4 linked regions of the Sus scrofa genome follow. The protein of the gene in region 4 interacts with the protein of the main gene of each other region in a biochemical or structural test. Links are inferred from orthologs where the notes say so. Each region holds a gene or a part of one and is shown on either strand. Other genes may lie near its edges.

Region 1 (8,070 bases), on a different chromosome or scaffold from region 4:
GCCTGTCCTATAGTTATAAGGTTCTTCCATGAATGAAAATTGACATTTTTGGCTGCACCCACAGAACATGGACGTTCCTGGGCCAGGGACTGAATTTGAGCAGCAGCTGCAACAACACCAGATCCTTTAAACCACTGCACCTGGCTGGGGATGGAACCTGAGTCCCTGTTGCTTCAGAGACACCACTGATCCTGTGGGATTCCCACAGTGGGAAATTCTGAGGTGCCCACATATTAAAAAAACAAGTATGTATTACTTTTTCAATCTAAAAAATAACTTTTTAAACTTCAAAACAAATTCCAGATGGCAATAGCTTAGTTATAAAAACAACCACAATGGTATATTCATATAAGGGAATTTTACTCAGCCAGGTAAAGGAATGAATTACTGGTACATGCTATAACATAGATGAATCTTTAGTCAGACATAAAAGATTACGCAGTAATTCCATTTATATAAAATGTCTACTAGAAGAGGCAAATCCACAGAGACAGAAAATACATCAGTGACTGCCAGAGGATGGGGAGAATGAGGAGTGACTGCTGATGGGCACAGGGTGATGGAGATGTTCTGGAATTATATGGTGGCAATAGTTGCAAAACTTTATGAATATACCAAAACCACTGAATTGTACACTTTACAGGGTGACTTTTATGTATGTAAATTATATCTCAACTTAAAAATCTATATGAGGGAGTTCCTGTCGTGGCGCAGTGGTTAACGAATCCGACTAGGAACCATGAGGTTGCGGGTTCGATCCCTGCGCTCAAAATTTTTCTAATTAGGCACTTTTTAATCATCAGAATAAAGATCTGCTAGCACACAAATAGGCTCAATTTTCCTTTCTACATATCATAACCAATTCTTCAGTATAAAAGTTTATCACGTTGAGTCAAAAAACTTCTCTTCCTGAGACTCTACCAAGAATTAAATATAGTTCTGGTCACCAAATGTCCCGTTCGGTGCCAACCCGGCTCTCCGGGCACACCACCTTTCTAAATTACTGTGCACACTGCTGTTGCAGGAACAAATCGCAGATATAATCTCTCTACGCACAGAAGAGGTGTCAAGTGCACAATCAGCTTCAAAAGCTGGACTGCTAACTTAAATTCATTCAGAGCTAGTAGTCTTCTTGGAAGGCATGTCTTAACCATCTTATGCAAACATTTTTTCTCTAGACAGAAATTCACCTAGATGACCAAACATAAAATGCTACTCAAACCCATATTTTTGGTAGTTATTCTCCAACTGGCATTAGAATGGGTTTTACTTTTGCCACTACCTAAAAATAAGGCTTTTTTTTCCCCAGTACCATTCTGGTCTCAATTTCAGCTGACTTCTCTGAGTTAGCTTCTGAGATAACTTTTGTTCCGTTCACTGCTGTATCTCCAGAACATAATAAACACTCAGTAAAGAGCTGTTTGAAAAAATAAATGAAGGCATTCCTGCTGTGGTGCAAGGGGATTGGTGGTGTCTTGGGAGGGTTAGAACGTAGGTTCCATCCCTTGCCCAGCTCACTGAGTTTAGGATCAAGCGTTGCCACAGATGCCGTGTAGATCTCGACTAAGGCTCAGATCTGATCTCTGGCCCCGGAATTCCATATGCCAAGGGGTGGCCAAAAAAGAAAAAAAAAAAGAAAAAAGAAAAAAGATGAATTCTCCTGTGGTGCAGCTGATTAAGGATATGGTGTTGTCACTGCAGCAGCTTGGGTCACTGCTGTGGCTCAAGTTTGACCCCTGGAGTGGGAATTTCCACGTGCCAAGGGCATGGACAAAAGAAAAAAAAAAGGAATTTAATTTTGAGGGAGAAATCACCACCATACGATGTTAACTTTCTATACAATAATATTGCTAATAGATTCCACAAAATCATATTAAAAAACCCCTAAAATCTAGTCACAAAGAATTAAAAAGATATTTGTAATTAAGTATGACCTTTAATTTTTTCTTATATTCTTTCTACATGCCTATCATTCTTGACCTGGAAGGGTAGAGCAAATATTAAGTAGACCAAGTGAGAAAGACAGTTACTTCACAAAATTACTTTGTGCTTCTGTCTGTCTTACAGGTAGGAGTCAGAGGTGCCAAAAGACTGGCAGCTATTAAGTTGCAGAGCTAGGATTTGAACTTGGCTGGCTACTAGAGTTCATTATTAACAAACGCTGCACTTGGCAGGAAAAAGGAGGGCAGAAGTAGGGATATAAAATGGAACTCTAGACTAAGGGAGAAGACAGAATACATGTACCACAGAGATTCGCCACAGTTGCCAAGGGGCTGCCACCGTCACACTTCTCCAGTCCACTGGCAATCCATCAAGGTGGTGGAGGACCAAGACAAATGACTGGGAATTTTCACTTAAAAATTCATGCTTAGTGGGCAAGTACAAATATTCAAAGAAAAAAAGTAAGACATAAGGTTAGATATATCTCAAAGGTCCTAGGGATTGGTAGTTCAATTCAGGAGCTAAAGTTAAAATAATCTCTCTGGACAAACACAGAAAGCTTCCTCAAGTGATTAGGATTCAAGTGTGGTTGAGGGGTAGAATATTCTTCTCCAGAAGACATCTTAAATTTATTAGAGAATTAAAGGGAAAAACTGATTCAACTGCCAACTTTGTCCATAACTTCAAGTCTTTATCTACTGTTCACAGTGAGGTGAACTGACTCAGCTAATTTCAGAACTGAATGTTTCACCTGACACTGGAGCCTAAGAGAGCGTGAATTAAAATGTAAATTCTAAGACATGAAATTACAGGTTATCACACAAGAAAACTGAATGTGGAACTTGAAGTGGTAAGTAAACAGCCTGTTTCAGGGAAACAAAAATACCATTTGCTTGGCAGTTCTATTTACAGAAATACACTCCTGTGTTAACAAATAGTTATTTAACAGACTCACAGATACAGAAAACAAACTTATAGTTACTAAAGAGGATAGCGGGGGAAGGGGGTGAAGAGGTAAGTTAGGAGTTTGGGATGAGCACACAAACACACGACTATATATAAAACAGGTAAAAACAAAAATGTGCTGTACAGCTCAGGGAACTTTATTCAATATTTTTGTAATAGCCTATAATGGAAAAAAAATCTGAAAAAGAATACACATATATGTGTGTAACTGAGTGACTGCTGTATACCTGAAACTAACACAACATTGTAAATTAACTATACCTCAATTCTAAAAAGTTACATATGTATGTAGACCCTAAGCAACAATACATGTAACTAAAAACACTATTCTTGGGAGTTCCCACAATGGTGCAGTGGGTTAAGAATCTGACAGCAGCAGCTCAGGTCTTTGCAGAGGTCCAGGTTTGATCTCTGGCCCACTCAATGTGTTAAAGGATTTAACTCCACAGCTACAGTTTAGATTTAACCCCTGGCCCAGGGAACTTCTATATGCTTGGATGCGGCCATAAAAAGGAAAACAACAACAACAAAACAGCTATTACTCCTCCATTCCTAAGATGCTTAATTTTAAGGGTGTGCTATAAACAACATTGACAAAATCTTTCCTTCTTCAATGCTTTTCGGAGGCATCCCGGCTTACAAACACAATGATCAAGAAAGTCTTATGGGTCATGGCTTAAAAATACAAACCAATCAAAAGCATTAAAGAATAAATAACTTTGTTACTCCTTCATATGAACCTTTTTACATAAAAATGTATTAATATTATTTAGGCCAAAAAAAAGGTGGAATGAGAAAAATAAACTGTAAAATCTGAAATAATTCGAGGTTAAGAAAACAACGAATATAGGACTCAGAAAGTGGCCTAAAATCACACAATCAACAGCGACTGTAAACAGTTAATTGCCTGCATATTTTACTACTTTTTGGAAAAAAACAACTTAAATATGTAATAGAAATAACTTTCTGAAAAGTGTTACCCTGCACGTAAAACACGTACCCATTGATCATTTCATGCAAGCAGTGTTGCCAAACTTAAGACTAGCCGTCCTGTTTCTGAAAATCAACATTTTTGCTTCCAGAGAGCTTCTCAATTGAAGAAGACCAGTCACCATCTGTCTCAACCAAAGTCAACTTCTATTTTAAAAATCACAGTCCGCCATCACACCCACCTCTCTATAAACAAATGCTTGATACATTTCAACTCGATGATTTCTGAAGGACCGAGTCACCTGAGAAAACGGCTACGTTTATTATATCAAGGGCCTTGAGATTCACAACGTCCAGGTTCATTTTCAACTACGAGATTGCCTAGATTACCCTGCCAGCCAGCTAAAGCGCGGATTGCTAGTCCGCACGGAAATACTGGAGTGTCAGCAAAACCCAGAAAACAGTCGGCGCCCCAATCACTCCAGGAGTGGATTCCGGGTGCCACGTTGCCCCCGCCCACCTACCCCGGACCCCTTAGGCCAGGACTGGGAGCTTCCAACCCCAGCCGGGTGCTGGGTCTCCAGGGGGTCCAGGAACAGCCCGGCTCCTCCCGGGGGAGGCTGCCCGAGTGGGAGACGCAGCCCCGCAGGTCCCAGACGGACGCGCCGGACAAGGGACAAGCAGGCCAGGAGAAGAGGTGGGGGGGAGGGGGGGAGGAGAAAGGGGGAGGGGAAGGAGGGGGGAGGGGAGAGGAGGGAGAGGGGAGAGGATAGGTCCCAGCCCCCACCCAGCCTGTCGCACGCCGGCCGCATCTCGCCAATTTTCTCTCTTACCTTTTCGCATAGGGTCCGCACTTGGTTCTCATTAAGCTGTTTACACTCGTTCAGCTGCTCGACCCACTGGTCCAGCTCCTTGGTGAACGCCTTGTCGTCCATGGCGACCCGAGCCCCTCCCCCGCCGTCTCCCGCCCCCCTCCCCGCCCGCCCTCGCCCCTCGCGCCGCTCCCCTCGCCCGCCGCCGCCAGCTCCCAGTGGGAGAGGAAGGAGTGGGGGAGCGCGGCCCCGGACCCCGCGCCCCGCCCGAGCCCCGCGGGCGGCTCCTGGCGCGCGGCCTTCGGGAGACCCCCGCCCGCCCTGGCCCGCCGGGCCGCGCGCCCTGGGCGTCACTGGAGGGCGCGGGGAGGTGCGGGACTTCCGCGCAGCTCCCGCCGGATTATGGCCACTTGCCGCCGCCGCCGCCTCCCGCCCGCCCGCTGCTCTGGATTCCCTTGCCCCTTCTCTCTCGCTCTTTCTTTCCCCTCCCTCTGGGTTTCCGTCATCGCCCGGGCATTTCCGCCGGGAAAAGGTTAGCAGGCGGTGCCGCCGGAGCCCGGGACTCGAGGAGGGGTACAGCGCCCCCGTGTGGCTCGGCGGAGAAACGGTCCCTTTCCCTTCCATCTTGCACTTTATCGACCAAGCTCTCCCAGTTCTTTCTTTACATAATTTTACGCAAGTCTGTACCCACTATAGTTTCCTGCAGTGCTTTTTTCCCCCTTTTTTTCTTCTTTTTATTTTAGCGTTCTGTAGAGGGGATTGGAAAGCTTGTCCCCCTCCTTGACAACATTGTCTCCTCAGAATCTATCACTCTCCCATAGCAGGTGGTCAACATTTGTTGAGAAAAAAAATAAATTCTTTCTAGTCTTACCTCTGTTATGAACTAGCTGTGAGGCACTGACATCTCGAATCCCCCCTTTCAGCATCAGAAAGATGAGATGACAGCTCTGTGTTTTACCAATCAGTGTCCCAGCTCCCTCATCCTCCACGGAGTTGACTGCAGTGTTTACTGAATTCTCATGATTTGTTCATGCAACAGATACTTAATGAGCAACTGCTAACTGCCAGATCTCTTGAACAGCTAATGCTTACCAAGTTGACTTCCTATATTATAGTTGCAGATTATTGCCACTGAACCCAAATGGGAGGCAGCCTCTTGTATCTGAAGGCAAGAACTCCCTCCAGCTCCCTCTTGGCATTGCTAGCCTCCCAGCCAGGTCCTTGGACAATCACCAAAGCTCCCCCAGCCTCAAGTTCATCATCTGTTAAAAGGGGGCAATAAGCCCTTTTCAGGTTATCATGATTAAATTCTACAAGTGCTTATCCAACAGTAGAGTTTGGGAGCCATGTTCCTCTGTTTCTTGCCTTATCCCTCCTAGGCAATAGCTACAGAAAACTTTAGAAGGGTGGCATTTTTTTTCTTTTCCTTTTGCAGTGGTTTGCTGCGGGGTCTCAGTTCTCAGACCAGAGACTAAACCCCAGCAGCATCAGCGAAAGGGCCGAGTCTTAACCACTGGACCACTAGGGAAACCCTGAGAGAGGTGGCATTTCAACTGAATTTTGAACCTTCTCCCTAAGCAACACTTTGGAGTTCCCTGGAAAAGAGGAAAGGAGTTCTCAGGATTTTGGGTTTTTTTTTTGGAAAGTGGCGGAGAACAAATGTGTGCAAGACCATGGTCTCTTTGGAAAGCTACAAATACTCCTAATAACCGAAATAGGTCCTATGGTGGAAAATAAGGCTGGAAGAGCTCCTGTTCTCAAGTGTCTTGTAAACAGCAGCAAACCAACTGCAAGACAGAACATGAAAAGGTGGTAAAACAATACGTACAGAATAGGAGGGGTATCTGTAAGATTGCAATAGATTTGCAGTCTCTGAGGAGGCTAGTCTACAAAGGTTGAAAGGAGGCTGTTTCAGCTACACCTGGTAAGTTCAGAATGAAAATGAGAGTAAGAACATATTTTCAAAGTTCCCAGAGAAGATGGATTGAGAATAGAAAATATGTCTTGAGAAGAAATGGGAACTATGGATAGTGTTGGGGGTGGGTGTCCCTCGACATAGAAGCAGATGTATTTGGAATTAACATGAGAGAATGTTTTTAGACTTGAGAGTAGGGAGGTGTTTGTGAGAATAGTGGTTCTGAAAAGTTTAGTCAAGTTATGCTATAGAGCAAATAAGAGTGTTTTCTGAGTGCTTCCTGTCTAAGTGTTTTTTTTTTTTTTTTTTTTTTGTCGTTTGTTTTTTAATGGCCGCACCTGCGGCATATGGAAGTTCCCAGGTGAGGGGTCGAATCGGAGCCCTAGGCCACAGCCACAGCAACACCAGATCCTTAATCCACTGAGTGAGGCCAGGGATTGAACCCACATCCTCACAGAGGCTACATCAAGTTTGTAACCCTCTGAGCCACAATGGGAACTCCTAAGTGTTTTTTCTTAAATATTTCTTTTTTTTTATTAAATTATAGTTGATTTATAATGTTGTGTCATTTTCTGCTGTACAGCAAAGTGACCCAGTCATATATATATATACTTTTGCTGAGACCAGCTCAGCAGCTGAGGGTAGGTGAGGGCTGAAGAACGGGTGCTGTGAAACTTAAGAGAAAGTTAACGTAAAACAAGACACAGTGGAGTTCCCGTCGTGGCGCAGTGGTTAACGAATCCGACTAGGAACCATGAGGTTGTGGGTTCGGTCCCTGCCCTTGCTCAGTGGGTTAACGATCCGGCGTTGCCGTGAGCTGTGGTGTAGGTTGCAGACGCGGCTCGGATCCCGTGTTGCTGTGGCTCTGGCGTAGGCTGGCAGCTACAGTTCCGATTCAACCCCTAGCCTGGGAACCTCCATATGCCGCGGGAGCGGCCCAAGAAATAGCAACAACAACAACAACAACGACAAAAAGACAAAAGACAAAAAACAAAACAAAACAAAACAAAACAAGACACAGAGACATTTACCTTAATTAAAGGTGGGAACCAGGGGACTCAAGGTCTCAGGGACCAAGAGTGCTGCCTCAAGAAACCACACTGCTTTTATTGTGCTCTTTAGGCTTACATCAAGTGATGAGGGGGTTGTAGGTGCAGGATATAGTTTTTTACCATTTTAAAAGTCACATAGCCTGTAGCTGGTTAAGCTTTTATTCTGACCTTTAGGCATTTAACAATCATTAGCATTGACGAAGCTTGGCATCAACTATCTATGCATAGCATCTAGAGAATCACCATTGTGCTTCTGCAGACAGTGTGCCTATCTGCAGCAACCCAGCTACCTAGGTTTGCACCTTGGTTCTCCTTGCTAATGCATATCCTGTTAACAACCCCTCATAAACCCCTTGGGGCCATGAGGTTCATTTTCCTCTTGTTCTTTAGAGGACATATGCTGTGCAAATGGTGTGCCTATCTGCGCAGGTCCGGCATGCCTAGACCAACACAT
Region 2 (6,934 bases), on a different chromosome or scaffold from region 4:
TTTTCCTCCCGGCCCGGCTGGAGGCTGGGGAGGCGGCCCGGGGCCGGGCGGGCAGCCCCCGCCACAGCCGCCACAGCGCGAGCCGCGCATCCCTGGTGGGAGGAGCAGCCCGGTGCGGCCCAAACGCGTCCAGAAACAAAACCCATTAAATACAGGAGGTCCGAGCGCGGCTTCCCGCCTCCCTTCGAAGCCGTCGTCCGGAGAGCGCGCCCGGCTGGCCGCCTCAGGCCGTGCCGCTGGCCGAGTAGGAGAACTGGGGGAAGTGAGGCCTCCGCTCGCTGTCCACGCCCTCCATGCTGTCGTCTGCGGGCACGCGCGGGGCGGCTCAGAGCCCGGGCACCAGCGAGACCCCAGCGCCCGGCAGGCTCGCCTCCTCGCCCCGCGAGGCCCTCCTGCCGCGGCCGCCACCCCCCAAAGGCAGCCTTCCCGAGGGCCGCTGGACGGCCGGCCTCCCACCGAGGGCAGCGCCGAGGGATGGTGCGCGCGCGCGCCCGGGGGAGCGGAGGGGAAGGCGCGGCCCTCACCTTGGTCGGGCGGCGTGATGGTGATCATCTGCGCCGTGAACTCCTCGTCGAAATACCTGGTGTCCGTCTCGGACGTGACCTGAGGCTTGAACGGTGGGCTGAGCTGCGGAAAGGGGGGCTGGGTTACAGACCCGGACCCGCCCGGACCACGGCCCCCAGGGAGCTGTGCCCCTGGCTTGGGAAATGACTCCTGTCTCCCAGGGGACGGTGTCCAGGCAGCCGTCCCCACCCACAGGCAGAGTTCTGGAAGGAGACCTGCACAGGAGGGGACCCACCTAGGGCCTAGGTGGGTGCCCCTCAACCAAGAGCCCGCAAGCAGTGTCACGGCGCCCCTGCAGGTGATAGGAGGCAGTGCAGCCCAGCTCCGAGGACCCCACCCCCGGGGCAGAAGGGGCCCTGGCCACTTTTCTTTCTCCAGCGCTCCTATTTTCCTTTCCGGGTGTCTCAGAAACCGCCGGCAGGCCCAGGCTGCAGAGGCTAATGCCAGACAAGGGGAGGGCAGGGCTCGGGGGCCCACTGCCACCCGGGAGGGGGCCCCGGAGCAGCCGGCCACTGCCCCCTGCCCAGGGCCTGTGCCAACCCCACCAGGTGCCCTGGGGAGGGAGGGGGATGCGATGCCCAAGCCCCGCCCAGGAGATGTGGATGGGGCCCCGCCCTCCCCTGCCCGCTTCCCCTCGGGGGGCCTGGTCCTTCAGGGGTCCACCGGAGGGAGTCTGGTGCCTCACTCGCAGCTCCCGGGTAGCAGAGTGGCCCTGAGCGTGGCCACAGGCAGGACTCCCAACGACGCGGAATGAGAGGCCAAGTGTAAGGGGCCAGGCTGGGGGGAGAAGCAAGCGCCCCACCCCACCCCCACCAGGGCCCTGGCCTGGGGGTGGGGCTGCCCTGGGAACTAGCAGGGACCAACAGGGTGGGCACTGCAGCCCCCAGAGGGCAGGCCCCTGGCCTGGAGCTGAGCAGGGTGGGGCACCCATCTCTCAGGGGCTAGAGGCCCAGCCGGCTGCGTGTGGCCTGCAGGCGAGGGAGACTGGAAATGGGGGCGAGGTGTGCTTGTGACAGGACGTCAACGAGCCCGGGGACATCCCCCTCCTGCCCCCAGCCTGCTGGGCCAGGGCCTGGGGCTCCCGAGTCCCTCAGAGGCAACGGGCAGAGGCACATGTTTAGGAAGAAGCTGCCTCGCTCCTCAGGGGCCTCCTCACGTGTGGGTGAGCAGGTGTGTGTGTGCAGGTGTGTGAGCAGGTGTGAGCCTGTGTGTGTGCAGGTGTAGGGTGTGTGAGACCAGGTGTGCCAGCAGGGGTGGGGGTGGGAGCAGGTGTGTGAGTGGATGTGCGTGTAAGCGTGTGTGTGCAGGTGTGCCACCGTGTGGGGGTGGAGGTGAGAGCCTGAGTAAGGGTGTGGCTGGGGGGGGCCGGCCCACAGGCCCCCACGCACCTTCTTCTCATACACATCCTGCCACACGATGCTGGCGAAGAAACGGTGCTGCATGATCTCCTTGGCATCCTCAGAGCCCCCGCCGAGCCTGGGGGAGACGAGGCCATGGTGACGGGGGCTGCCTCCTGCCCGGCCCAGAGCTCGGCCCTTCCCCCACGAGGTCTCGGGCAGCGGGGGACAGGCAGCCTCCCTGGGGCCCCCGGGGCTGAGCCCGCGGCTGGAGGGGGCGCCCACCGCTGCTTGGGGTCCTTCTTGAGCAGCCCTGAGAGCAGGGACTTGGCCTCGGGGCTGAGCGTGCGCGGGAAGCGGATCTCCTCCATGAGGATGAGCTCGAAGAGCTTCTCGTGGTCCTGGTTGTAGAAGGGCAGGCGGCCGCACATCATCTCGTACATGACCACGCCCAGTCCCCACCAGTCCACCGCCCGGCCGTAGTCGTTGTCCTCCAGCACCTGGGGACATGGGCGCGGGCTCGTGGGGCGCTCAGGCCGCAGGGACGGGGCGGGGGGGGCGGGGGGCCCGGAGACACGCGGACGCACCTCGGGGGCCAGGTACTCGGGCGTCCCACAGAAGGTCTTCATGGTGGCGCCGTCCTTGATGCCCTCCTTGCAGAGCCCGAAGTCAGTGATCTTGATGTGCCCGTCCTTGTCCAGCATGAGGTTCTCCAGCTGCGCGAGGCGGCCTCGGAGTCAGCCCGTTCCGCGAACCCGCCTGGGGTTCCGTTCGCCTGGGTCCCCTGGCACGCGAGTGGCGGCCTGGGGGCGGGGTCAGCAAGGCCCCGCCCCGCCCCCGCCCCCCGCGGTCCCGGCACCGCGGCGGCGGCAGCGGCCTGGGGGGAGGAGTGTCGGGCCGGCCCCGCCCCCGGCCCCGCCCACCTTGAGGTCCCGATACACCACGTTCTTCTCGGAGTGCAGGTAGTCCAAGGCCGACACGATCTCGGCGCCGTAGAAGCGGGCCCGATCCTCGGGGAACACCCGCTCCCGGGACAGGTGGAAGAAGAGCTGCGGACGGACCGGAACTCAGGGGGGAGCGGGGCGGGCGGCCACCGCAGCGGGCATCGCGCGCTGGGGCCAGGCCCTACCTCGCCGCCGTTGGCGTACTCCATGACGAAGCACAGGCGGTCGTGGGTCTGGAAGGAGTACTTCAAGGCCTGCAGGGGAAGCAGCGCTGGAACGCGGCCCAGAGCCGCGCGGGGACGCCGGCTGCCCCACGTGGGCCGGCCGGGATCTCGGCAGCTCTCCTGTCCCCTGCAGGGCAGGCCCGGCCGCCTGGCACCTCAAGCCCAAACAAAGGCCCCCGCTGAGCGAGCGCCTCCCTGGCAGAACGCGGCTGCGAGCGGCCGGCCGGCCGCAGACCTCGGGCCTCGGGCCCGGGGCCCCTCCCCGGAGCTGGGCCCCCACACCCCCCGGGACCCAGCGCGGTTTCTGCAGGACAGGGTGGCGCGCGGCTGGCGCGTGGACCCACCGAGGGGCGGAGGGCGTGACAAAGCCTGGCCTCCTCCTCACCCTCCTCCAGCCAGACGGGGGCAAAGGGCGGCATGAAGCAAAGGAGACAAAGCCACAGTAATGAGCGGGTCTGGCCGGCTCTCAAAAACGCCTGCCGTTTCTCAGGAGAGAACATCCTTTGAGAGGCGAAATCGCCAGAAGCAGGACCGCTTCTCTGCTCTGCCGCTGCTCTGGATCAGGCCCTGCCCCGGCGCGAGGACATGGTGCCGAGCAGAGGGGACAGGCCCGCGGTGGTCCCAGGGACACGTCGTCCACCGCCCGAGTCCTGACCACCCTCTCCCCGGCTTCCAGGAGCAGACAATTCCGGCTTCTTCCCTGTTGCCCCCAAGGCTGTGGGTTTTCCATGCACCCCCTGGGGCTGAGTTCCCCCAGGGCAGGGGAAGCCCGGGAAGGCCCTGAGGAAGGGTGGGCCTGGGGCTGTGGCCTCCCAGGGTCCCGGCGGGGAGGCGGAGGGAGGGCCAGACCCGCTGCCCACCAGCACAGCCCCCCCCCCCCGGCCCGGCACCGGGCACGTCCGCCCGCGCCTCCAGGAGGCCGGCTGAGGTCTGACGGGCTGGCGTGAGGGACGGCCGGACCCCAGCACCGCGCGGGCGCCCTGGGCCGGGGGACTCACCGTCAGGAACGGGTGCCGAGAGTTCTGGAGGACGCGGTTCTCCGTGAGCGTGTGGGCGACCTCGTCCTGGGAGACAGGGCCCCGTGAGCCGCCCGGCCCCCGGCCCCGCCCGCCCGCCCGCCCCCGGCCCCGGGCCGCCCCCCACCTTGGCCACGATGACCTCCTTCTTCAGGATCTTCATGGCGTAGTAGCGGCCCGTGGCCTTCTCCTTCACCAGGATCACCTTCCCGAAGGTGCCTTTGCCCAGCAGCTTCAGGTACTCGAACTCATTCATGGTCTGCGGGTGGCAGGCCGGCGCCGGGGTCAGGGGGCGGCAGGGGGCTGCTGGCCGCCCGAGAGCGGTGAGGGGGACAGAGGCCTCGGGGCTGAACACAGCCGGGGGGCTCAGGATGTCCACGGGGTCCAGGGGGCGGCGGGAGCGGTGGCGCCCGGGCCTCCTGGAATCCAGCGTCTCTTCCTCGCTTCCCTCTTTTTAAATTTTACTGGCCTCACCCGTGGCACGTGGCCGTTCCTGACCCGAGCCACTGCGGTGACAACGCCTGATCCTTAACCCCCTGTGCCGCCAGGAAACCCCTCTCCCTCGCTTCTGACCCGGCGCTCTGGGCGGTCGGAACCCGAGGGCCAAGGTTCTCCTGGGCCATCTGTGGGGACCTGTGACCACGGAGCCCTGGGAGCAGGGGCGGGGCCTCACCACGCGGTGTTTGGGCTTAGCCAGGGACACCTCCATCTCCTCGGCCCCGGAGTTCTCGCTGGGCGAGCCCGACCGGAAGTCCATCATCTCTTCCTCCTGCCGCTTGAGCCCGTCGGCCACCGTCTGGATGGCGGTCGTCCACTCCTCCCTGCAGGGCGGTCGGTGAGGCCCCAGCCCCACCCGGCCCGGGCCTCCCCGCCTCGGGAGCCCCAGCCCAGAGCCCCCACGGAGACCCAGGGACACGGCCCGCTGACCCCGCTGACGACGGGGGCCGGCCGGCCCGCGGGGGCTGCGAGGGGCCAGGAGCGGTGGGGAGGGCGCGCCTACCGCTCCTCCGGCGTCTCCACGTGGAACGTTCGCTCGATGACGGTCGTCCACTGCAGGCAGCGGATGATGAAGGTGTTGGGCCGCGGCCGCTCCGTCTTCATCAGCTGGCATTCTGGTGGAGGCAGCGGCCATGTCCATCCGCACCCCCCCTCCCGCCCCCCGCAGCTGGGACCCTGCTCGGAGCTCAGAGGCGCCCGGTGGCGGCGGGGGGGGGCTCTGGGGCGCCTTCCTTCAGTCTCCCAACAACTCCCCGCCCCCTCCGCCGGCCAGGCCACCGCCCTCAGCCCCCCGGAAGGCGAGGCGTTTGGGGCCCTGGGGAGGGGCCCGCAGGGCGGAGGCACCCGCGTGGACAGGAGCTGGCCCCCGTTCTCCCCGGCACACGAGGACAGCGGCCCGGCCGCCCCCCTTCAGGCGCGAGGCCAGTCCCACGCGGAGGCTGGAGGCGACTCACCCTCGAAGAGGCCGCCTGTCCTCCCTGGAGGCCGCCGGGGCTGTCTCCCCCCACCCCTCTGAGGCCCACACCCCGGAGGCACACGCGGCTTAACAGGAGCCGTACTAACAGGAGCGCGGGCACACCTGCAGCCCGGGACCTGGGGGCGCCCCAGGCCTGGAGAGGGGCCGATGCTGGCCCAGCCCGCGCGAGGCGGAGGGGGCCGTGGGGCCCGCGCAGGGGCCTGACATTCCAGCGTCCAGGCCCTGGCAACCGTGAGGGGCCCCAGGCAGGCTCCGCCGAGAGCTCAAGGGAGCGAGGAATGGTCTGCCAGGCCTGGGGGCCGGGAGGGGGGCTGGCGCCCAGCCTTGTGGGCAGGGGACGGAGGAAGCTTTGTGGCCAGCTTTCTGGGTTCCCCTCCCCAACGTGCTCAGCCCACTGGAGCCCACCAGCCGCTCCCAGGACAAGGTGCCTGACACCCACCCCACCCCAGCCCAGGGCCGACTACTCCTCCCCACCAGGAAGAGCCCCTGGTGTAGAGGCCCCACACAGACGCCTCCCCCTCCCGCCAGCTCTGCTCCTGGTTCAAGGCCCCAGCCCCGCCCAGCGCCGAGGAAGCCCCTCTGGCTGGTGCCCCCACCCATGACCCCTGAGAGTCCCCACTCCCCGGCATTTCAGCCTGGGAATCGCTCCCAAGGGGCCTCGTTTGCCCAGTAAGGCAGCACCCCACATAGCCAAACTTCCTTCCTGGGGGGCTCCCATGGGCCCTGAGGCGGCTGGGGCAGGTGTCTGCCTCCGTGACCTCCCCTCACCCAGTCCCTACTCTACCCGCCGCTTTGCTGAGACTTAAGGAGCCGGGTGGGGGCGGGGGAGGGAGCGCTCAGGGCCCAGAGGAATGGGGCCTTAGTAAAGCACCCCCAAAAGGAGCCCCCCAGGCTGGGGCCTCGGAGGGCAGGGCCTCTGCTCCTCCCATTAGGCGCCCTGGAGTGGGGTATGCTGGCTGTGCCCCTGCGCCAGGACGGGCTCCCGTACCAGGACGGCCCCACCTCTGGGGGCCCGGAGGCTGGGAGTCCGTCGGCTTGGGGACAGGCCCCTCTGAAACCCTGGACCAGAACATAGTGGGATGGGGGAGCTGGAGGACCCCGGGCTCCCAGGGCACGTGGCCCAGAGGGCAGAGCCAGCCGCCGGATGGGGACACCTGAGGAGGCGCCTGGGGCAGAGCCAAGGCAGTGCTCTGCCCTTCCGACCACACCCAGAGGCACCCTCTCTGGGCTCACAGCCTGGGCCAGCCCCGGGCAGCGCCCCCCTGTGGGGCTCCAGGCCTGGGTCCCCCCTGCGGGCACAGGACAAGGCCGCAGCAGCCCTGGGTCAGCTCGGCAGGTCTGAGACGCCCGGCCCCGGCTGTGCACGGAGCCCACG
Region 3 (8,272 bases), on a different chromosome or scaffold from region 4:
AGAGGAGGTGTTATTTATCCCATTTTCCAGCTGAAGAAACTGAAGCTTGAAAAATAAATTAAGCCACCCTAGTTGGTAAATGGGAACACCAGTGTTAGGATGCAGGTCTGTTTACCTCCAAAGCTAGACTCAACTGTGGCCAATCTCCTTCTGCAAACCCTTGCCAATAAAGAGGAAAATGTTTTCTCAGCCCTGCCCATCAGCGACAGGGTTAAAGAGAGAAGGAGGGAAGGGGGGAATTTGAGCCTGATATTACCCAGATCAGCTCTTGGAAAAGGGACCCTTGATTGCTTGGCTTCTCTAATCTTTAATGAGACCCACTGGGAGGCAGCTGTTCTGATTTACTTCTGTTATTCAGATGATTTAAGTGAGGCCCTGGGAACCACCAAGGGGAGTCCTTGAAGTCTGGCTGAGCAGTGGTTCTGAGGTGGATCTGCTAGATAAAATATAGACTGTCCAGTGCAGTTTTTAAAAAAAGCATTTTTATTAGTATCTTCTGCACACACTTTATTTTATTTATTTATTTTTGGCTGCACTTGCAGCATGTGGAAGTTCCTGGCCCAGGGATCAAATCTGAGCCACAGCAGTAACAGTGACAATGCCAGGTCCTTAGCCACTAGGCCACCAGGGAATTCCTCCAGTTCAGTTTTAATTTCAGATAATAATTTTGAAAAGTCTAGGTATGTCACATATATTGCCTGGGGCTCCTCATGGATGGGATCCTGGTGTGTGGGAGTGGGGGTGAGGTTGGGGGGCATTGCTGTTTCACTTCCCACTTGAGTCTCAGGCCCCTCTATGAAGCTGGGCCACAGGAATAGGAAGGGGACTGATTCCTGGGGACTGCAGTGTCTATGGCTACAGGACAAGGTGGAGCCTCCATTTCTCCCTCTGTGAAACATAGAATAGTGGACATGGATGTAATTACACAGGGGTAGTTGCTTTGCACATCACTTGAGCAAGTGCTCCAGCTTTCTAGGGGGCTAGAGGGGCTCCTAGGAAGGGGGAGGGTACCAAGTGAATGATTAGAATTCCCTCTTTTTTTTTTAACAATTCCTCTTTGTCCAGGTTGGGGGTCCCCAGAATCTGGAAGCCCCGAGCCTCTTTGGTGGCTCCTGTGACCCTGGACACTTGCGGTAGCAGTCTTGTTCAGCCAACAGTAGAGTGATAGTGGGTGTGGGACAGAAGGAGACACAGGAGTTATGGCAGCACCAGAGTGGGGATGGGCTGATGGTAGCACCTGGGTAAGATGAGCCTGGAAGTAAGTGATCAGAGAGAAGTGGCAGAAAAGTGATGAGAGGAGTTGATGCAGAGGGGAAGAGCATCCTGAAGCCCAGAGGACTTGATGCCCCAGAGTATGGGCAGGAGTGGGGAATGAGGGCAGGATGGAACATTCCTAAGCCTGTAGACCTTGGTGCTTGGGCCAGGGCTGGGCCACTCCTGCCCTTCCTCTGTGACTGGGCAGCCCTCAGGCAAGACTTCTTGCCCATTTGGATACTGGATGCTTCTTTTTGAGACATACCACAGGGAAAGATGGACACAGGCAGAACAGAGAGAGAGAGAGTCCAGAAATGGTCTTCCAAAGAGGCCAAGGAATATTTTTCCAATGACTCAGGCATGATGTGCCAGACCAAGCTGGGTGTGTGGGCCTGATTTATCTGGAGCTTTGTGTTTGCACATACTTAGATGTCAAAGTGTTGGCTGTGAGGAGTGGTGCCAATGCACAGGAGTGCATGCTTGTATCTCTGACACATATGCCTGGCCTGTGAAATGTATCAATGAGCATGCTTAAAATGTATGTACAGCCCCGATAACCTGAGTGCAGTCTCTTCCTCTTCCTGGGGCAGGAGTCTGGGAGTGCCTGCAGGTATGTGGCTCTGTGAGTGCCTGTGTGTGTGTGTGTGTGTGTGTTGGGAGAGGTAGGAGGGCTACAGGCATTATAGAACAGAGATTCTGGAAGGAGAGGTTGCTGGACAGGGCCTGTGTAGCTAGCTCCTGTTCTACTTCCCCAGCCTCCTGGGCCCTGGCTCCTCCATAGGCCCTCTGGAATACCCTTTATTCCCATCATTTACCCAGGGTCCCAGGCTGATTTTCTGAAGGGGAACAGTGCCATCAGGTGGCAGGTTGGGGATGTGCCAGGAACAGGAGAGCTGGACCCTGGGTTCCCACGAGGGCTCTCTTCCTTTCAGGATTTCAGTCAGTGGGGAAGTCACAACCACACTGGTTACATCAAGGACAGAGGGAAAGTTTCTAAGTCCTAAATGCTCCATCCTCATGCATTTTGGGTTCAGAGCCCAGGGAGGCATGGCAGGAAAGTCAGCTGAAGGAGTCAGCTGAAGGAGGATTGATGTAGGAAGTTATGGTCCAGGCTCTCTGCACCCATGAACCTGGGCCCCATTCCTTGGGCCACAGTCTGGGCTCAGATTTCTCATTTGTATAGGCGGCTAACTGTACTACCCTGTGGGGTCCTAGCGGCCATTACTGAGATCAGCAAAGTTCCAGAACCACAGAGACAGAGAGTTACAAGACATGAAAGAGGTGCAGAGAGACAGAGGTGCAGAGAGAAGACACACTTCTATAGCACTGCCACCCATCATTGTAGAATTTTGTGCCTGAGTAGCTGCTTCAAGTTACACACTGAAGTGAAGGAGGGAAGTCTCTTTCTGGAAAGAGGGCAATGGGCTCTGGTGGGAAACAGAATCAAGAGACCCACCATCTAGGCTCTTGCTAGTTTCTTACTAGCTATAGAACGTGAGCATGGCAGCAGGCTTGCTATGTTCCATGTTCCTCATGTGAGAGTGCTGACTGTGAGAATTCCATAAAAATGTACAGAAACTTGCTCAGGAACTCCCAGAAATAAAGCCTTGGTAGGATCTTGTCCAGGAGAGATTCTGCTTACCCATGGAGCTACATTTCTCTTTCATGCCTCCAAAAAAGAAATCCAGTGTCAAAGAAATCCAGTGTCAGAGTCAGGGGTCGCTCTGGTTCTGCGGCTAACTGGTTGTGTGATGTTAGTCATGTCACTCAGTATGACCTGGTCTCTCTTCTCCCACCTGTAAAATAAAGGAATTAAATTAGATGGCTTCTGAGGTCAGCCCTGTCTTAATCTATGTCTTTGGTTTTTTTTCCTTTTCTCTGCCTCACATATAATACCTAGGATGAATATTTATTGATCCTACAGGCAAGGTCTTAAACAGAAAGACAAAGAAAAAAACAGAGCCTTCTGTTAAATGAGTGCTGGCATTTCACATATACTTTGGGAAATACTCTTAGATCCTGGTATATTCTAGGTATAATGGGGCAAATGAGAGAATAAAGCAAAGGCCCTTGTCACCCAGGACCGAATAAGATACTGAGAGGGTATTTAGCAATTAGAGCCTAAGCTTGGGAGGATCGGGTCTTTCACTTCACGCTTCCGGTTTCCTGAGTAACCAATGAGTATGTAGCAGTTCGCGTTTACGCTAAAAACTACACTTCCCAGAAGCCAATGCGCGGGGGCAAAGTGCTCGAACGCCAATCAGGATTAGCGGGCCCCTCCCATAGAGGCGGAACTCCATTTCCCAGGCGGCTCTGGGGCTCGTCGATATTCCTCCGCTCACCCTGGCCTTCTCCTCCCGCCTTCTGCCAGGGAGCCTCGCGCCAAGTCGGGAGAGGCGCGCGCGCGCGCGCGTGCGCGGGGTACGTAGCACGCGAGTGACGCATAATATGTGGGCCGCTCTGGAGCCGTGGTCGCACTGTGTGTGAGTGAGGGAGAGTGAGTGCGGGACCTGAGGCTGTGTGTGTGAACTGTGGCCACTGGCGGGGTCAGGGGGGTGCGGCGGAGCCGCCTGGGAAGGTGAGTAGAGAAAGGAGGGAGACGGCTCTTTCGGAGTGGCGCGAGGAGACAGGGCGCCGGGCCAGGCGGGCGGGAGAGTGGGCGCCGGACTGGGGGAGGGGCGGCACCTGCCTGGGCCGCCGGCGGAGAGGGGGCGGGCCGAGCCTCGGGGGAGGCTTGGTCTGCGGCCTGACAGGACTTTCTCTCCTCCCGATTCTTGGCTCAGGGGCGGGGCTTTCACGTTCTTGCTCCAGCCGGCAAAAGAAACTTCCCTAGAGTAACTCTTCAGCCCAGAGTAGGGGGCAAGGCTGTGCCCGCCCCTACCTGGAGGAGGGGCGCCTCTTATTTCCCTCATCACCTTTCACCTTCCAGTCCCCCCCGTCTTCCTCCGTACGGACTGGGGGCCTCCATCTTCCTGCTGTACGCCCCCCCCCTTTCCTATACTGTCTCCGCCTCCAGCCACCTGGGAGGGCTTTCCCCCTTCCTCGGCCTCTTGCCGCCTCCCCCGGCACTAGCTGGGCACCGTAATGGGTCGAGGGGGCGGAGCTCTCCTGGCACTCCTCCCACTCCCATGGTGGAAGGGAGGGGTGGAATGAGATGTGTGTGGGTCCTGCAGCTTGGAGCCAAACCTTGGAGTACCCGCCAAGTTTCTCAGGAGCCTGTTTCTGGGGGTTATAGTCGTTTTTAACTGGGTGTCAGGCGTTTGGCTTAACTCTCTCTTCCTAGACGGTTTTGGTCTCACTTCCTCTTACTGCATGTTAGCACTCGGGTTTCGCTTGTGTTGAAGTAGTTTTGGAGTGTTTGTAGTAGTTCTTTTTGAGTCCCAGCTGACTTGTCCTTGTCTATGTCACGTTGGCCTCAATTTTTCTTACGCTGTCTTTTCAATGAAGGATTTTAATTAGCCTACGTGTTTTAATGATTATTAGCAGCATCTTCGTGTTCTAAAAGCTTTTTAATGTACAGAGTGAGAGGTTCATTGGCATTGTTCTGTAATTTTCTTGTCCAAGTTTACGGGAGTTTACTTTTAAGGTTTATGTGAACTTGTATAGTTACACTCTTTAGAAATCAATTTGTATTTTTTCTACTTGATGCTGTCAAGATTTGGCCTTTGTATGTAACAGTTATTGTCCATTTTCCAGTGATAGTGTATTTTTGGATGTGAGATATTAGATACAGAATTTGGGAGCTAGAATGGAAATCCTTTTATGTTCAAAATCTCTTGAGTAATTGCTGAGCACAGTGTTTTACTATTCTGTCTGTTGTCCAGTAGTATGAAACACATGTTTGAAGTGATCGAAGTTGGTTTGTTACCAGTTTTCTTATATTTCTGTCATGGTCATAAAAAGTAATAGAGTATTGTTATACATGTTCTTATATGTTATAGACGTAATTAGGTAAATTTTACTCGAAGCTCCAAACTTGGGTTTTTTTTTTTCCCAGTTTTTTTTTTTTTTTTTTCAAATAAGGAAGAAGGTGTACAGACATTTTAACCTTATGGGATTTTACCCTTGTGGGATCTATCCTTAATGAGTACTTTTTTTTAGGCTTTGGGATAGTTTCTGCAGAACAGTCCATTCAGTATTGTGTATTAGAGGTTCACATATTTTTTTGGTTTAATTTAAAAGTTACAGAAGATAACAAAATAGTGGAAAAATGGTGAATCTAGAGTAATAACAGTGAAAAAAATCTTTCTCCTACCCTTATCCCTTAGAAAGTCAGTTACCTGCCGCAAAAATAATAGTTATTATCTGTTTTTTAAAAAAAATTTTTAATTAAAATTTTTTTTGACTGATTGTGTGGAAGTTCCTGGGCCAGGGATCAAACCTGTGCCACACAGTGATCTGAGCTGCTGCAGTGAGAGTGATAATGCTCCACTGCGCCACAAGGGAATGCCTATTATCTGTTTCTTATGAATTTTTCCAGGACACACACACAGACTTTTCTCACTTGACAACATTTTGAGAGTTGGTCCAAATTAGGAAAGAAGTTCCTGTTGTGGCACAGCAGAAATCAACCCAACTGGTGTCAGTGAGGATGAGGGTTCCATCCCTGGCCTCACTTGGTGGGTTAAGGATCTGGCATTCTCACGAGCTGTGGTGTAGGTCACAGACACTGCTCACATAACGCCTAGCCAGCAGCTCCAGGACTGATTCGACCCCTGGGCGGGGAAATACCATATGCCCAGGTGAGCCCTGAAAAGCAGAGAAAACAAAACACAAATCAGGAAAGGAAATCCTTCCTAGTTTTTTTTCTTCTTTTTAATTAAAAAAAATTCGGGCGTATTAAAAAGTTGAAAGAATAGTAAAATGAATACTTGTTTATCCATCTAGATTCAACAGTTATTATTAATATTTTGCCATATTTTCTCTTATAGGTGGATATGACGTACATTTATTTTTGTGGAACCATTTGAAATAAATTTGCAGACACAGCACCCCTAAATACTTTGGCAGACATCCTTTAGGATAAGGACTTTCTACATATTTTTTGTGGAAATTTATGTTATTCCATTTTATGGACAGTCTTATTTAATCCTCATGACAACCATTTCCATTTTACAGATAAGGAAATTGAGATTTGGAGAAGTTAAATAACTTGACCAAGATCTCACAGAGGTATGTTGGCAGAGCTGGGATTTGAATGCTTGAAACCCCTTTCTACCAAGTACCAATCGATTGGTCTTGGGGACCTCTCTGAGCCCCTTTCCTTGTCTGTAAAAACAGGGGCATATTGGTTATGGAAATTCAGAATAATGTCAGTAAATTACCTAAACAAGTGTTTATCTTATACTAATTTTCACAATTCGATAACTATTGTGTCACTGTTGGACAGGCCATAAATTCTGCATACCACTAAAACAACTCACTTTGAAACATGGTGATTTGAGTAATGTATCTTCACTGTCTTGTCCATAACAAGATGACTGCACCTTTTGCCTTTTGTTAGTAGTCTGTCATAGATAGTAAAATGAATTATTGGTATTATTATTTTTGTCTAAGTTTATATTTCCCTGGGCACGTGATTATTCTCAAAGTTATAATTATTCTTAGGCATAGTTAGTTGGAAATTTTGAAAATAATACCAAAATCACGTGTGTGTCTAAATTGAACTGTAAAATATTACTATTTTAATGCCCTTGAATTGATCTTTTTTAGACATAGTATTTTCTTTAAACTTTGCCTTTATGTGTTCTACTAGGCTGATTGCTTAAGTTAACCAAGAGGCATTCTCTCCTGGACCATTTTTCCCATATTAAAAAAAATGTGTGAGTTCCTTTGTGGCACAGCAGGTGAAGGATCTGGCATCGTCACTTCTGCGGCTCTGGTTGCCACTGTGACTTGTGTTGGATCCCTGGCCCAGGAATTTCTGCATGCCGCAGGAGTGGCCAAAAATTTTTTTAAAATTTTCATACGATAAATTAACCCCTTTAAGGTGCATAATTCAGCTGCATATATTAGATTAACAGTGTTGTACAACCATCACCTCTTTTAGTTCTAAGACATTTTCATCACTCCAAAAGGAAACCCTATGGCTATTAATCACTCACTTCTTATTTCCCCCTCACACATACCTCTTGGCAATCACTAGGCAGCTTTCTGTATATGGATTTATCTATTCTGGGTGTTTTGTGTAAGACTAAATAGAATCATATGATATGTGACCTTTTGTATATTTTTTTAAAGCCTAGCATATTCTTTTAAAAGTTCATCCATGGGAAGTTCCTATCATGGCTCAGTGGAAACAAATCTGACTAGTATCTGTGAGGATGCAGGTTTGATACCTGGCCTTGCTCAATGGGTGAAGGATCCGGCGTTGCCATGAGCTGTGGTGTAGGTTGCAGACACAGCTTGGATCCTGCATTACTGTGGCTGTGGTGTAGGCCAGCGATTACTGCTCCAATTCTACCCCTGGCCTGGGAGCGTCCATATGCCAGGGGTACAGCCCTAAAAAGACCAAAAAAAAAAAAAAAAAAGTTTATCCATGGTTGTAATGTACCTTCTTCCTTTTTTTTTTTTTTTTGTCTTTTTGCCATTTCATGGGCCGCTCCCGTGGCATATGGAGGTTTCCAGGCTAGGGGTCGAATTGGAGCTTTAGACGCCGGCCTACGCCAGAGCCACAGCAATGCAGAATCCAAGCTGCACCTGTGACCTACACCACAACTCACCGTGTCGCCAGATCCTTGACCCACTGAGCGAGGCCAGGGATCAAACCTGTGTCCTCATGGATGCTAGTCAGATTTGTTAACCACTGAGCCACGATGGGAACTCCCTGTACCGCCTTCCTTTATGTGGCTGAATACTATTGCATTGTATGAATATAACCACATTTTGTTTATCCACTCATCTCTTGGTGAACCTTTGGGGTTGTTTCTACATTTTGGCTCTTGTGAATATGCTTTGAATATGTGTGTACAAGTGTTTGACTATCTCTTTTCAGTTTTTTGGGGCATATACCTTCGAG
Region 4 (7,586 bases):
ATAGATGCCTAATAAGTAGATGCCTGATGAACAGATGCCTGATGATGAACAGATGCCCGATGAACAGGTGCCTCACATGCAGCCCATCACGACCACAAACATGCAACGCAGCGACAATGTGGGTGCTGGTGGAAGGTCCTAGGAGGTAAATCCCTGGCTGATCTGGGAAAGCGGCTCTGAGCTCAGGGCCTCGCTGGTGCCCTTACCCCACCCTGAGCTCAGGGCCTCGCTGGTGCCCTTACCTCATCCTTCAGCTGAGCCAGGAAGAGGGGCAGCAGGTGCTCGATGGTGTTGTCCTTGCCCAGGATGGGAGAAAGGCCCATGATGACCGAGGCCAGGGCCGACTTGACATGCTGGTTGGCGTCGGACACCAGCTCCTGGGAGGGAGAAGGAAGTGGGAAGCCGCGGGCTGAGTGGCTAAGGAGACTCCGACTCCTATGGAGACTTAGACTCGGCCTGCTTTTGTGCTCACTCCCAGAGCAGGCTTGGTGCAGAGGGAGAACTGCAGGTCCTCACGTGTCCAGCCTGCCTGGAGATCAACGACCCTGCTCCCAGCACCCCCGCCCCCACCCTTCCGATGAGGAGACCCAGGGACCTCTGCTTGCGAGAGAAGCACTCTCACCCCTACGCTCAGCCCAGAGTCTGCACGCAGGGCTCCTCACTGCCCCAACCCAAGCCTGCCTGGCCCTAGAAGTCTGGGAGCTCGGTTTGCACCTGGCTGCCCCCAAAGCCTCACCTCCACCCTTCCTCCCCGAAGGCTTAGATCTGCTCTAGTTCCCCCCTCCACCCCCAGTCCCCGATACCTTGATGCAGGGCAAGATCTGAGTCATGATGACATTCTCCCGACAGTCGGCTGAGAGGTTTTCACAGAACTCTGCGGGCAGGGAAAGGGAGGCGGCAGGAGGTGAGACCCGAGGGCCTGGTTCTGCCTTCAGCCCCCTGGACGCCCGCCCACTTGCTGTGTTCTGCTCGCCAGCACCAACCTTTGACCTTGTGGGAGGCTGCGGCCCTCACCTCGGCCTCACAGTCTTTCATCAGGTTCTGGAAGGCGGGGACCAGGTCCGTCTTGGTGATCTCAGGCCCCACTGCTTTCTGGAGCTGCAGGAAGGGAGGAGTGAGTGGGCTTGGCGGTTCTCTAGGTGAATGAGAACTGGCCGAGAGCGAGGCCCCTGGAATCGCTGCGAAGGTCTAATCCCAGCACCATGGGGATTGACCTCAGCCAAGTCGCCGAGCCACTCTGAGGCTCAGTTCCCTCCTCCTAAGGTGCTGAGCTGGGCCAATGGCACAGTGGTCACCAGCGTGGCTCTGGAGTCCAAGCCCCAGCTCAAATTCTTCCTCCTACTTATCACCCACGTGACCTTGGAGGAGTGGCTACACCTCTCTGAGCCTCTGTTTCCTCAAAAGCAACACGAGGACTGCAAGGGTACCTAACCGCACATGTTACCTACGTTAGAAATAACGAGATCGCCTTACTCTGCAGGTCATTCAGGGCTGGGTTTTCTGTTACCTGATCCAGAAGGAGCCTAACGATTTAAGGCGGCTCTCAGTTTTTGCTTTGCAGGATCACATCTACGGCGTGTGGGGGTTCCCAGGCTAGGGGTCCAATTGGAGCAGTAGCTGCCGGCCTGCACCACAATCACAGCAACGCAGGATCCTTAATCCGCTAAGCAAAGCCAGGGATCAAACCTGCATCCTCACGGTTACTAATGGGGTTCACAACCCACTGAGCCAAGCAGGAACTCCCTGGCTCTTTTTGAATCACATCTGTGCTTTTCAAAGCTGGTTACTGGACCCATGCTACTTGTGTAATTAAAGTGAACATATAATGGTTAAGAGGGCAGCAGACACACAAGCTGCCCACCACCGCCCATCTCACAGCACCAGGAAGAAAAGGCGCGTGGATTCTGCGGCACAACTGCTTCCCGAAGCCCTGGCAGGAGGCGGAGCGGTTCCCGACTGAGGGAAGGAGCACCGACCCTGAGGGCCTGAGACCCATCTCACCAGTGTTCTCGAGCCCCAAGAGCCAGTCCTGACTGTTCTCGGCTCACGTCCTCCAGCCCGGCTCTCGTGCACTCATCTTCCAGAACCTGCTGGGGCACCACCTCCTCTTCTCAGAGCCTCCGCGCCCACATCCACCCGCCGGCCTCAGCCCCCGGGACACTTTATCGAGATGCTTCCCTCTGTCCAGCTGATCCTGCCCTTCAGGCTGCCTGCACCTTGGAGGCCGGGCTGTGCTGAATTCACTGCCTCCCCAGCGCCCAGCAAAGAGCTGGTGCTCCGCAGACGTGTTTGTGGGAGAAGCCAGCTGGGGTCTCCGAGGAAAGCGTGCTGTCCTGGGAGCTGCGGGACCTCGCCCAGCCCGCCGGCCTGGTGTCACACTGACCGGGGTCAGGGGGCTGAACCGCATCCCCCTGCAAGTCTCGGGTTGAAGTCCTAACCCCCAGGACCTCCGACTGCGACGGCAGCTGTAGAGAGGTCTTTCGAGAAGTGACAGGGGAAAACGAGCTCCTGAGGGTGCACCCGAGTCCGGAGCGACCCGAGTCCACAGGGGCAGGAGAGACGAGGACACAGACACCGGCAAAGGCCGGGGAGGGGAGCCATCCACGACCGAGGAAAGACGACTCGGGAGACCAGCCGAGCTGATGCTCTGATTTCCGACCTCGGCCTCGCAACAGGAGGAAGTAAAGTGCCACCGGCTCCGAGGCGCTCTGAGGGGCGCTCACACACAGGCTCTCCCACAGCACCCCGAGTTGCCCCACCCACCCAGCAGGGTGGGCAAGTCAAGTGGGACCCAACGAAGTGACAACAGAGGCCTTACTTCTTAAACACCGACGGGTCCACAGGGCTCAGCAAACCCCGCTCCTGAACGAGGTCCCTTCCCCTGCAGCCGCACTGCCCCGTCCCTGAGATGCTGGCAACGTCCCCTCAGGTACCTCTGTGAACTTGTCGGCCACCATGTACCGCACACGCCAGGACTTGTCCTCCGCAGCCTGGCGCAGGGTGGGCATCACCAGGGCCTCCAGATCCTCCTGGGGCAGGAGCTGGGCGATGTTCACGCACGCCTCCACCGCCAGCAGCCGCACCGAGTCCTGGGGAGAGGGCGGCAGAGGCGCCATCAGCCCCGCGATCCCCTTTGGGACTCGGGGTCCGCCGGGGGCGGGGCGGGGGGCAGACCCACCTGCTCGTCAGAGGCCAGGTTGGAGAACATGGGGATGATCTCGCTCTTGACGTTGTCCAGCTCCAGCACCTTGGCAAACTCCCCCAGCTTGGAGGCTGCGGCCCGCCGCACCATGGGGGTGTCATCTGAGCACAGGTTCCGGAAGTACCTGGGGGTTGGGGTGGGGCTCAGGAGGAGGACTCCCCGGGGCCCCAAGGCAGCACGGACTCAGCAGCCCCGGGGCTCCTGGCTTTGCCTGGTGACGCTGGGCCAGGGACGGCCTGAGTCTTCCCAGCCTTAGATAACGGAGCTGACTGACAGCCTACCCGCCCCACAGGGTCACCGAGAGCTTTTAAAGCCTCGAGATCATGAGCCTGAGCCACTCGGCAGCCGTCCCACACAGGAAGTCTGTAATGAATGGTGGGTGCCGATTATATTATTATGACCACATAAAATGCTCGGCGAGGGTGCAGGGCTGGGGCGACTCCAAGACTTTCCCTTGATCAGAGACGTGGGCACACGCGATCCCTGAGCACGAGCGGGCAGCCAGAGCGGAGCTTCCCGGCACGAGCGATGACTGAGGGCCTGGGCTTGCTGCTCAGTGGTTCAGAGTCGCCGGATGGACAGAAAGGCCCAGAGGAGGGGAGGAAACACAGCTCGGGGAACTCTAACCCAATAAAGGGATTTTCACTGATTCTCCCAGAAGGCAAATCCACCCCATGAGGAATGCCCCGGGCCATCAAGCCAGGGGGAGGAGCTGGCGGAGGGAGGCCTCCCACCCGACCTGCCACCCGAGACAGGCCGAAACGGCGACCCGCAGCACCTGAGCGCTTGAGATGTGTGAACTCTTTTTAATGCTCCCAATAACCCATGGGAGCAAGAACAGCACCCCCATGTCCAGCATGAGGAAGGGCAGCACTTGGACGTGCGCCCACACGTCCCGACACCCCCTCCCCGAGGGCAGGGAGGGGGCGGTGCTGGCTGGGGGCGCTCAGGGGCACCTGGCCCTGGACAGGCCTGCAGGGGGCTGAGGCTGGAGAGGAGGGGACCAAGCTGGGGGGAGCGGTGGCCTTCCGGGGGGCCAGGGGCCAGGACTCACTGTCGAAGCTCCGCCTTGACGGCACTGGACACACGGGGGTAGCAGACGGAGAAGAGGCCGCAGGCCGAGGTGCGGGAGGTGAACCAGTCGCCGCCCGCCAGCCGCTTCACGAGCGGCACGAAGTGGGCCTCGAGGTCGGAGGGCGAGTGCTCATGTGAGATGGCCCGCAGGGACTCCACCGCCTTGTCGCGCACCACCGTCTCCTCCACCGTGGCCAGCGACTCCAGGGGCGGCTGGGGGGCGGAACATGAGGTCACCGGACAGCCCCCTGCCCGCCCCCCGCTGCTCCCCTCGTGGGCTCCTCTCCTCCAAAAGGCCTGCGCCCGGTGTCAGCCTCCACCCAGCCTGCACTCCCCGAAGAACAACATTCACAGGCCCCTGAAGGAGCTTCGGGGGGGCGAACCCCAAGATTGCACGTGGCACTTTCTGAGGAGAGGAGCACAACCGTCACTGGCCTCTCAAAGTGCACTAGGAACCCCGGTGCCGACCGGAACGTCCACTCCCCAGGGCGCAGCTCCAGGCTCTCACGCGCTGAGTGCCATGAAGCAGGTGCTGCTGCTGCTTTCCCTTGAAGGAACAGAGAACCGAGGCTCAGCCAGCGAGGTACTCTGCCCCCGCCAGTGGGAGCCATGAGCCGGGATCTAAAGCTGGCCACCGGCTCCAGACCCTCCCAGAGCTGAGGACAGAGCTGCTGACAGGCAACGGCCTCAGGCGCTCACGCCACCGGGGCACCCTGGGGCCCATGCCTCCTGACTTGTTACCGTGAGGCCTGGAGGGACATGTGACTGGCTGAGCAATGCGGCCCCTGAGCCCAGCAGACCTAGCACGGGGCGGGAACTCAGTCATTACTGACCTAACAAAGGGGGACTCAACTCATTCTAATCTTCCCACAAAGATGCGGAGATCAGTGGTCTGACGTCCAGCCCAGCCCGACAGCAGGGAAATCGGAAAGCAATCACAGACGCAAGTGCTTCCTGGGCCCGGGCAGGGAACAGAGGGAAGCCTTGGGCAAAGGGATAGTGCTGCCTGACCCAGAGGGGCCAGCAGACACCCATCCCCAGGGCACGTGCTCCCCAAAGGCAGCACGGGGAGGACTGGGGTTTCCCTCGCTGAGAACGCGCAGGGGGAAGACCCGGAACGGGCGGGGAAGGCGCCCTGGGCTCCAGTCCTGGCTGGCCCCAGGCCCCGGGCCCTTGAGAAGGCGTGGGGCTCTCAACAGTGTTTTCTGCTCTGAGTCCTCTGAGAAGCTGCTAAAAGCTGTGAATTCTCTCCTCAGGAAAAGTGACAAGCATCAGGGGCTGCAGACAGTTCCATGGAGTTCAAGGGACCCCCTGCAGGCTGGCCCAGCGACCACATCACATCACGTCGCATCAGAGGAGGGCATTAGACAGTTCTACTGTGTGTCAAAGGTATGAAATTACCCCATTCACATATGACCTTGTGTGTGTACATCTACAAATTACACATGCACACAGATGAAAGACGGGACACCAGAATTTCACGGTAATTATCACATTTTCCTAGAGTTAATGCTTCATGAATGTTTGGAAGGAAACAAACTACCATCTTTGCTCAAATCCAAGATGCCAACAATTCTAACAAACACCTTATTTCATGCACCACGAAAAGGAAGAAAGCCTGCTGACAGTAACTAACTGTAAACATCCCAAGCGCAGACGCCAACGTATGGAAATGTGCCTTTAGACGTGAAACACAGAATGACTGCGGGGGGACGGAGGCAACAGCTACAGCCCACGGCTCCGAGGAACAGAGAAAACCGGGAACGGAGCTCCCCCTAGGTTCTGCTGACCCAGAATTCAGCACTGGGGCACCTCCTCCCGTCTCTTCTCCCAAACAGCAGTCACATCTGTGTCCCCAGCCATTACCCAGCACAGGGCGGCCCAGGCTGGGGAGGCAGGGCCTGGGGAAGCGTCACTCGGACACGCCTGGAATCCCTGCTCTGCCACCCGACCTTGGACAAGCTGCCTCCCCTCTGTGCTCCGGGAGGCTGTCTATACCCTAAGGGCAGACACGACCTCATCACACGGGGCATGATGACAGCTAACATCTGTCAGCACCTGCACAGAGCAAGCACCATGCTGAGACCACTGCTGGGTCTGTTCTAAGGTAAGCGTTAATGCCTCACCCTCAACAGAAGAGGAAAGCATAGCACAGAGAGGGTAAGAAACTTACAAGTCACACAGCAATTAAGCGGAAGAACCCAGCCCGACCTCAGCCTCATGTGCAGAGTGCCAGGAAGGACCAGCTCTGGTCAGGCACGCCCGATCGACGGCATCACCGATGCCAGCATTTTCGTGACTGCTGTTTTAAATGCCACTGCTGACCTGCCAGGGTCAAGTCAACATCCAAGGCCGATGTGTTCCACGGGGATGGCCTGCGCCCAGGCTGGCGGGACCGTGGGCCAGACCCCACCAGCGGCGGGCGGGGGACGGTCCACTTCCAGACTCACCAGCAGGCAGTGCACGTACTCGGGGCCTCCGACCAGCGTGGTGAAGGTGCCCAGCTGTTCCGCCAGGGCCAGCAGGACCTCGTCCTCATCGTAGATGGTGTCTGGGGGACAAGACAGACAGTGTCACAATCCCGCCCCAGGTCTGACCCCGGCCCCTCCGTCGCCCAAGCTCAGAACAAGCAGGCTCCACACCGCCTCCTCGAACTGGCAGCCGCCCTCCGCTGTGCGGGCAGAGATGAAGACACAGGCTGGGGTCGGGCAACAGAGCGCCCGTGACTAGGGGTGGGACGCTGCATTCCGTTTCTGCAGCTGCACGCCGGTGCCGACCACCTCCGCCCTCAGGGAAGGGCACAGTGAGGCACCAACAAGGCCTGTGTCCGAGCGCAGGGCCTGCCCTGCAACTCTCAGCTCTCGCCCTCAGCGCTGTCGCTGCCAGCGACGCCTCCCGCTTCGGCCTGAGGAGCTCTTCTCCGTCCCTGCACACTCAGGTCGGCTACTGGGTCCTGGAAGAGTTCCAGGATGCCCCCAGAAAGGCAGGTCCCTTCTCTGGGCTCACGGCCCAGCCACGCCGCCTCTGCGGAGACCACGTCTCAGGCTAGGACCGCCCGAGCCTGTGCCACAGCTCCTGCCAGAGACAGCACGGCACGGCGGGCACTCCGCCTGCTCAACGTCGCTGAAAGAAGGCGACCAAGAAAGAACTGCTCTGCCCCAAGGCCTAAACGCAAAGGCCTTTGGCCAGCCCCCCCCCCCCGCTCGCCGAGGCACTGGCATCCCTCGGGTCCACTGCCACGTCCTGAGTTTACGAGAGGCAGACTCCCCGTCTTGTGGACGGTTCAAGTCCCGCTCTGTGGCTGTGGGGC

What was found.
Region 1: the proteins of PPP2R1A (region 4) and PPP2CB form a complex in vitro, tested with the Homo sapiens proteins (2 studies listed by BioGRID and IntAct). The link is inferred for Sus scrofa from reciprocal best matches to the Homo sapiens genes PPP2R1A and PPP2CB.
Region 2: the proteins of PPP2R1A (region 4) and AKT1 form a complex in vitro, tested with the Homo sapiens proteins (2 studies listed by BioGRID and IntAct, with this or other methods). The link is inferred for Sus scrofa from reciprocal best matches to the Homo sapiens genes PPP2R1A and AKT1.
Region 3: of the proteins of PPP2R1A (region 4) and DCAF1, one has a biochemical effect on the other in vitro, tested with the Homo sapiens proteins (2 studies listed by BioGRID, with this or other methods). The link is inferred for Sus scrofa from reciprocal best matches to the Homo sapiens genes PPP2R1A and DCAF1.

The regions. Positions count from the first base shown.
Region 1 is NC_010457.5:54,292,861-54,300,930, reverse strand, and holds the start of PPP2CB (serine/threonine-protein phosphatase 2A catalytic subunit beta isoform), read right to left. Parts: upstream 5,146-8,070; 5' UTR 4,773-5,145; coding exon 4,671-4,772; intron 1-4,670.
Region 2 is NW_018084979.1:3,040,771-3,047,704, forward strand, and holds part of AKT1 (RAC-alpha serine/threonine-protein kinase), read right to left. Parts: intron 5,198-6,934; coding exon 5,086-5,197; intron 4,907-5,085; coding exon 4,759-4,906; intron 4,345-4,758; coding exon 4,213-4,344; intron 4,134-4,212; coding exon 4,068-4,133; intron 3,100-4,067; coding exon 3,031-3,099; intron 2,951-3,030; coding exon 2,825-2,950; intron 2,618-2,824; coding exon 2,489-2,617; intron 2,402-2,488; coding exon 2,187-2,401; intron 2,041-2,186; coding exon 1,953-2,040; intron 628-1,952; coding exon 525-627; intron 304-524; coding exon 224-303; 3' UTR 1-223. UniProt on the Homo sapiens protein: AKT1 is one of 3 closely related serine/threonine-protein kinases (AKT1, AKT2 and AKT3) called the AKT kinase, and which regulate many processes including metabolism, proliferation, cell survival, growth and angiogenesis.
Region 3 is NC_010455.5:33,746,169-33,754,440, reverse strand, and holds the start of DCAF1 (protein VPRBP), read left to right. Parts: upstream 1-3,683; 5' UTR 3,684-3,832; intron 3,833-6,372; exon of another isoform or gene 6,373-6,426; intron 6,427-8,272. UniProt on the Homo sapiens protein: Acts both as a substrate recognition component of E3 ubiquitin-protein ligase complexes and as an atypical serine/threonine-protein kinase, playing key roles in various processes such as cell cycle, telomerase regulation and histone modification.
Region 4 is NC_010448.4:57,939,504-57,947,089, forward strand, and holds part of PPP2R1A (serine/threonine-protein phosphatase 2A 65 kDa regulatory subunit A alpha isoform), read right to left. Parts: intron 6,828-7,586; coding exon 6,727-6,827; intron 4,490-6,726; coding exon 4,257-4,489; intron 3,327-4,256; coding exon 3,179-3,326; intron 3,090-3,178; coding exon 2,934-3,089; intron 1,099-2,933; coding exon 984-1,098; intron 875-983; coding exon 804-874; intron 378-803; coding exon 243-377; intron 1-242. UniProt on the Homo sapiens protein: The PR65 subunit of protein phosphatase 2A serves as a scaffolding molecule to coordinate the assembly of the catalytic subunit and a variable regulatory B subunit.